Stegostoma tigrinum: one gene and its partner. The protein of the gene in region 1 interacts with the protein of each later gene in a pairwise test. Links are inferred from orthologs where the notes say so. Each region holds a gene or a part of one and is shown in the gene's direction. Other genes may lie near its edges.

Region 1 (3,925 bases):
AGCTCAAACCTTCCAATTCTGACAACATCCTTGTAAATCTTTTCTGCACACTTTCAAGTTTCACAACATCTCTTCTGTAGCAGGGAGACCAGAACTGAATGCAGTATTCTAAAAGTGGCCTAACCAATGTCGTGTACAGCCACATGATTTCCCAACTCCTGTACTCAATGCAGTGATCAATAAAGGCAAGCATACCAAATGCCTTTTCCACTACATGATCTCCCTGAGGCTCCATATTCAAGGAACTATGAACCTGCTATCTAAGGTCTCTTTGGCAAAGTTTCCCAGGACCATTAAGTGTATAAGTTCTGCTCTGATTTGCCTTTCCAAGATGCAACAACTCACATTTATCTAAATTAAATTCCATCTGCCACTCCTCTGCCTGTCTGATCAAGATCCTGTTGTACTCTGAGATAACCTTCTTCGTAGTTCACTACAGCTCCAATTTTGGTGTAATCTGCAAACTTACTAACCATACCTCCTATATTCACATCTAAATCCAATATAAATGCCAAAAAAAAGCAGTGGAGCCAGCACTGATCCTTACACAGGCCTCCGGCCTATCTTGAATTTCCTGTGGAAGATTAAAGGATCATATCGTACAGTGGTAATGTTCCTACCTCTAGGCCTGGATTTAAGTCTCACTTGCGCCAGATATGAACAGATTTGATTTTTTAAAATTATGGAAAAATGGGCAGAATTATTGAATTTTGGCAGGATGACTAAATGTTTAGCGGCTGTGGGTCCAGATTCTTCTTGTACAATCTGAACTGAGGAAGTGAGATATAATCCACCTGTAAAGATGTATTTGAGTACACACCTCCTAGAGAAGGAGTGACTTGAACACAGGGCCTCCTGCCTCAGAGGCAGGGATACTATCATTGTGTCACAAGAGCCCAAATGAGATTTAAAGAAAAAGAATTGCTTGCAAAACTCAGCTGGCCTGGTTGCATCTGTAGAGAGAGAATCATAGTCAACGTTTCCAGTCCAGTAACGCTTCCCGAGATTTTACTTTGGCTGGGGAAGGGTACGGGTGATATAAATACATCGCTTCTTCTGCCACTTGGTACACGAGTTGCAGCTATTGTCGACCCGGGGGAGCTGTCAGCTCCTCTGCAGCCGCGCGTGCGTCCGCGGTCCACAAGTAACAAAAACAGATGACGTCACAAAGAACTGACATCAGGATGTTATTGCACATTTCGGGCTGTCTCGCTCCTGATTGGCCGTTCGGCCCGGCCTCCAAACATTGAGTCGCGATTTAGAATATTGCCCGGGTGGCGACTGCGACAGCTTTTCTGATTGGCGGCTGCGCCTGTCAATCAGATCCTTCTTCACTCCTCCCTGCAGTGGGAACGAGCTGAGTTGCCCGGCAAGCGGAGAGAGACTGCAGCCGCAACAACATTGCGTTTTTGCCTTCGCCTCCAGTCTCGGAGCGCTTTAAAGCAAAGCTAATATTTAAACATTGGGAAATATAATATATACATAAATATGGGGAAAACTATGCCGGATGGCGAGAAGTTGTCCCAGGCTGCCGTGCGGGGAGACTGGCAAAACGTGAAGCGTCTGCTGACCGAAGAAAAGGTGAACGCCAATGCGGTGAATAAATTCGGACAAACCGCACTGCAGGTTGGTAGTACCTCTGGACTCTTGAAATAGTGATAAGGACAGCAACGGCATACTGTATTTAACCCCGAGTTACAGTCGCATCCGTTTAAACCGGGAGAAATCCTTTTCAGCATTACATCTACCTCTCTATATATTAAAAAAAATCTGCAAATTTGAAAGCCCTACCAGAATCTGCATTACTGTCGAACGCAGCAGATTAATAATTGGGGATTTGCCTGACATTCGGATTGCAAATGACTGTTGCGATGCCTCTTGTGACGGAGATGTCAGCCGGTTAAACCTGCTGCGGAAGATTAACCCGTTTCCAGACAGCGCCCAGAGATGTAATGAAACGTGAAATAAAATATTTAGGCGCAATCTGGTGTTGTAACCTACTGGGGTCGTCATAATTTGTGAATGAAGGCAAGGGGTTCCCTGTTCCCTTCCCCTTCGGCTGACGTTAAAATGCCGATTTGAAATAATTTGACATTTGACTCCAAAACTCTATCCAATAACTTTCTTTTTGCCTGCCGTTGGCCGGATGGAATTTTGAAGAGGTGTAAACGGAGTTTTTAAAAAATCGATTGTTGATTTAATTTAGAAAAAGCAGTGAAAGGAACAATTGTTGAGAAATGTCAGTAACTCTTACGTTACTTTACTACGAAAGGGCGGAGTCTTGCCGTGGGGCATGTGTACAACAGGGCGGTTTCAATCTGCGTTGTCGATCGGCTGTTGAGCTAAATTTACCCTGTTCCTGAACCGAAAGCAGTAAAAGATGCGTTTTAAATTGGATTGGTAATAAAGTGCTTTAAATATGGGTGGGGTTAGAATAATTATTGCAGGTTTTGTATATTATCTACCAGGCTATTCACAAGATGTTGCTAGGCATCCGTGTTAAGTAATATTTAGCAGTGGACTCTGTCTCACCCCCAGTCCTCACCAAGGGCATAAGGTAGCAACGCGAACCAAAATTAGACCACAGCGGGCACCCTATATTCACGGGGATTGTAGATCTGCGACTATCTGGGTATCTCCATATTTCTGTCTTTGTCCAGTATCCCTTAGTAACTACAGTTTACAAAAACAATCTTTCGATTTCAGCATTATAAGGATTAATCGACTGAGCAATTGTCACTTGCAACCTTCTATCACTCGTTGCATGTGACAGTATTTCCTAAATTCATTCCTAAAAGGTCTGACTTTGGATTTGTGATGTCCTGTGTTCGGATCTCTTCCCTCTAACCAAATATCCTTGGCTGAGGTTAGTACTTTGTCATGTGGAAGGATGACTGAATCTTGCAAGGCAGTGGACTCTGAAAGCCCATCACTGCTGTACAAAAGAGGCTGCTTTCATCTTTTTTTGACACCAGAGTGTCTGAGTTCCCATGGTAGACTTCACACTAGCCCTGTGCCTCAGGGCTGTTACAGAGACAAATTTATAACAATCACAGGGGAAGGTAGTAATTGCGATGTCTCCAAATGTCTACATCTTCTCGCAGCTGTGGGAGAGTCAGAGAGATACATGATTAGAATGTTTACATTGTTCTGCAGCTGTGAGACAGAGAGGGAGACAGACACAGATTGCTGGGCACACAGAAACATGCCCAGAAACTGATTGCAAACAAATCAAATTCAACATGTACAAAGTAACAAACCTGGGTTGCTAAAATGCACCACTAACATGCCTGCCCCACTTTATTTTCCTAATACCCTGCACCGCTCTGTATTTTCCCCTCTCTCCATTAATTTCAATAGGAACCAAGCACAATCTGTTACCGCCTGTTTTCCACTCTGTTGCTTGAATTACTCAGGCAAGAATCCACCAAAGATCTAAACTGTAATTGTGTCTAATTGTAGGTTCTTTCTCTACAAGTAGCAATATCAGAAATAAACCCTATACTGTTGCTGCTCCACCCAAGAACCATTTCTCCGATGTTACCCACACAAATATGGTTAGGCCCAAATTCCTTTCCCTAGAGCCATTAAATTGGAAATATGTACAACTGGTGAATCTTTATAGTTTGCAATCTTGCTGCAGTACAGCTGAACCGTAACTGAATGGCAGGACGTGCTGAATGGCCTACTCCAGTTCTTAAGTGTATTCTTTGCTTACTCAAATGGCAATGGATTCAATATCTGGTACAAAAACATTAAAGAGGGTCACTCACTTATAGTTTATACAGAAAAATGGAGAAAGTTGTGGAATTCAATCCCAAAAACTCCAGCCATAAGTCCCCAAAATGCTATTCAGTACAAAAATTAATTTTGATGTATTGATCTTTGGGATTTGGGCATTGCTTTTCTCTAACTGTACTACGGC
Region 2 (3,925 bases), on another chromosome or scaffold:
TCATGAGGAATTAAGAAACCAAGTATCCTTTTGAGTAATTAAATACTAAGGAAAACTAAAATAACTTTGTGGCAAGCATTATGAATACTTGAGTTACAAGGTTCTAAAGAAGTTGCTTTTGATTGATGCTGACTCTTAGTAAGTTTGCAATTCAGATGTACTGTTCATGTCACAATAAATGTTTTGTTCATTTTTACTGTGTCATGTGCCTCTACTTTACCTCTTACCACACCCCTAACAAGCCCTTACATACAAAAAAAATCAGAAATTGTATCCTATTTACCATTGTAAACTTTTCATGGAATCTGATTTGAATCAATAGGGTAGTAAGTAATTAATTTTTTTCTTCAAGCATTAAATTATTCTTCATTGATTCCAGAAAATATGCAATCTATTCTGCTGCCTTCGATCTAGCTGATAACAAACCTTGATGCATATTGGAGGCAGCTTATAATTTAGCCAACTGCTGTAAGGGTGTGAATAAACTAGATGTGCTATTGACCTATTTGGGTTTTATATGTAAATTTAATTTGACAAAATTATGTATTGTTTTGATGGCATATAATTGAGGGCGCCTCTTCCTGGATGAAACGTGTAACTTCAACAGTTCCGGTTATTTGAATACAACTGTTTCTAGCCAAATGAAGAACCTACAAAGCGGTCAACCACTGGAAATATGCCACCTGCCAAGAACATTTCCATTTAGGAACGTAATGGGCGTAATGGTACTTTTTTTTAAACCTACTTTGAAGTGAGGCTTGGGGATAGAAGTCTATTTGAAAATAAAAGCCCTGGTGGGGGGGGAAATCAATTATTCTATCCCTTGACAATTGTTACCTTAAATGCATCAGGTGGAGAAGATACGGTGCCCGGATAGTGATTAAAGGCGAATCTGCCGGTAAACTGTACGACTTGCTAGATTGCGAGTTTGACAAAAGTGGAGTAATCGTGGCCAAGAAAACGTCAACATAAAGTACACAAAACAGCATGTCCCTGCAAATACATATAAGCAAACTTGACCCCGTGTTTTAAAAAAATTAAAATCCCTACGCCAAAGTACTAGCTCTAAAAATATCCACAATGTCTTAATTTGGTGTTCTCGAGTTTCCGACGGGGTTTAAAATAGCCGGAGTAAGCCCTGCCCCTGTGTGCATCACTTGCAGACTGACAGTGCTGTGCCAGACCTGCTATTTTTGGCCGAGCCGCTTCTCTGCGTCAATGGCAGCGTTCCTGCGTCACGCGGCACTTTGCTGGGCCCGGCGCGCAGCCGCTCACATTTTCCTTTCGTTCATTAAATTGTTTCGCCCACGAATCACTGACGCTGTTCTGCAACAGGCCGGATTAATGAGCTCCCTCTGTCCGCTCCTCGCCTTACATCATTAAAGGTAGTCACCAGACTTTTCCCAGAGCCGTCCGCCCTCTCAACATTATTTCCACCAGTGTATAAAATATATACACAACTGTTGGACTTTTATATTTAGTTCTGCAGCAGAGCGGCGATGTTAAATATCTAAATTCGCTATTTTCAGTACAGCTCTTTTTAAAACCTGCGTTTTATCTATACAACTGAAACTTATTGTCCCACGCATCCGGCAACCCGAAGTTATTATTACCCCGATGTTTTTAAAGCTTTACATTCTATTAACAGGACGCTCCCCCGTACCCAAAACAAGCGATTCTTAAAGCGATTCCTACTATCTCTGATCCTTAAAATACGTGTGTTTTAAACGAATAAATCTCAATTGATTAAAGCGAACATGGGAATTTTATTTCAATGCTAGCTATTACACTCACCAGTTTCCCTTGCGGGCTCTACCGAATTACTAGAACTGACATAACACATCGTTAATAATGGAATAAATATACTGGAAATAAAAAAAATACGCAGTTTACCGTGATAAAATACATCCAAACTAAGTGATCAATAAGATCGATAAGCTATAAACGGCGAATATTCCAACTACGTGTTGTTTTGGAAATGCTGAAAGAGGAGGTGAGAAGGTTGCCTCAAGTCATGCCCCAACTACCTTAAAAATCCAAAGCGTTAACGTCACCTCGGAAATTTACCAAAGTGAGTCTTAGCCAACCGTGTGGTGCGGGCCCAGCCCTCGGGCGCTCATTGGGTTTGGCTACGCTGACGCTCGCTGACGCTCGGAGACTTGGTTACACGCTGCCGGTGGAAGAGGAGCTCACATAAACAAAGGCACATTGGGAGAGTAGGGCCAGTCCGAGTCTGATCGCTTGCTCAGAGTGCGGAGAACAGCAACCTGTACCGCTGCTGCCGCTACTTAAACCACACACTGCTGCACCTCAAAGTTCATTCTATGTTGAACTGAGTTTCTACTCACCCTGTGATCTGCCGTATTTAAATGAGAAGTGGAAGTAAACATTTGACAAGTAGGTATTGAATTATTCGAGTAGTCTCATGATGCGTGCTTATGCGAATATGTCCCGATATTGTTCACCGCTGTTGTTCCGTTTGCCATGGTTTAGTTTATCTTGTGAACTAGCTGGAGAAAAGTAGCCAATTCTTGAACTCTGGCAACAGTTACCGACTTCGAGCTTTTTCTGTTCCGACCCTTTCCAGCGCTGTCATTGAGCAAGTGAAAGGCACATCCTGATAATAATTTAAAACAATAAATGGATCGTCTGCTCTTCCTGTTGGAAGTTGTAGGCAATGTGCATATTGATCCGCGTGGTTTTGTTTTGACCTGTACGTTCCACCTGGTGCTCTGCCACTGTTTGGACGATATCAGCGATAGCGGAATCTCATTCACACGTGCATTTCTTGCGACCTGCAGCATGATATACTTTAAAAAAAAACTACCTCGCCCACCAAGGCGAAGCCCACATTGCAATGTGTACATATCGGTTTGCAGTCCAGAAGATTTACAGACTGACATGAGACAGTTTACAGAAAGTTAGATGTTCGCAGTTAGTTAAGTGAAAAATATTCGCTGCATCTTAGCGTGTATAATGTTTAATGTAGCCGAAGATCTACTTGATCTTTTGAAATTATGACAGCCCACAAATGATCAAGTGGAGCGACGCGGATATGTTAAATTGTGAGTTCAGGCATACACAGATATGACTGTCATTTCAAAAGTTGTTTTTAGTTTTTAATAATGGATAATTGCGCAACACATATCTAACATATATTTCGAGTTCCTAAAAAGTTATTGTTAAGCCAGTGGTTGTTACTTTTACTGTTTGGTTCTGCCTCTTCCTGGGAATCATAGCAGAAAACAACTGCCAAAATGGTTTAGAGAAAGAGCTTAAGATGTATGTTCTTTCGCGAACGTTCATGCATCAGTATATTTTAAAGATCATGTATCTGTCTAGTCTTTGGCTGTATTCTTCCTATATATGCAGAGAAATAATTCAATTTGCATTAATGGTGGATATTTCCCCCTTTCTGTGTCTATCTATCTGACTGATTTGTCTATTTATCCATCTGTTTTCTTCGTGAGTATTCTCAATATAGCTACTTTCCGCACAATAATCGACAGAATATTCCACACGCACCGTTCCAAAGCTGTAATTTAACATTTTGAGCACTTTGTATTGCTAAGGCCGCGTAACTTAGAGCAAAGCACATGTTTTCTATCACATTATTTCGAAGCAAATCTCTTTTGGATGTGCTCACTTCCTTTCGCATGTTTTGTGATAGTCCTTCTGGGTTAGTATATTGGTTTGGCCAGAAAATGTGATCCAGTATACACAGAGACGACGAGAATGTCATTAATGTTATCCAGTTATAATTAAAACTACGTAGACAATTCACAAATGTATTTAAGCAAATGTGATCTTTTGCTCCAGAGGATGATGAGAGAGGCAAGACAAAAACAAGATGAGGTCGTAGCAACCGACTGCATAAAGGATACATTAGGGCGTAATTAAATAAACTTTTAAAATAAAGAGTCGC

What was found.
Region 2: the proteins of cyclin-dependent kinase 4 inhibitor D-like (region 1) and nr4a2a interact in binary tests that used the Homo sapiens proteins (3 or more experiments, as listed by UniProt). The two-hybrid records come from large-scale screens. The link is inferred for Stegostoma tigrinum from reciprocal best matches to the Homo sapiens genes CDKN2D and NR4A2.

The regions. Positions count from the first base shown.
Region 1 is NC_081388.1:16,762,212-16,766,136, forward strand, and holds the start of cyclin-dependent kinase 4 inhibitor D-like, read left to right. Parts: upstream 1-1,322; 5' UTR 1,323-1,488; coding exon 1,489-1,626; intron 1,627-3,925. UniProt on the Homo sapiens protein: Interacts strongly with CDK4 and CDK6 and inhibits them.
Region 2 is NC_081360.1:56,816,199-56,820,123, reverse strand, and holds the start of nr4a2a (nuclear receptor subfamily 4 group A member 2a), read left to right. Parts: upstream 1-1,305; 5' UTR 1,306-1,385; intron 1,386-2,215; exon of another isoform or gene 2,216-2,397; intron 2,398-3,925. UniProt on the Homo sapiens protein: Transcriptional regulator which is important for the differentiation and maintenance of meso-diencephalic dopaminergic (mdDA) neurons during development.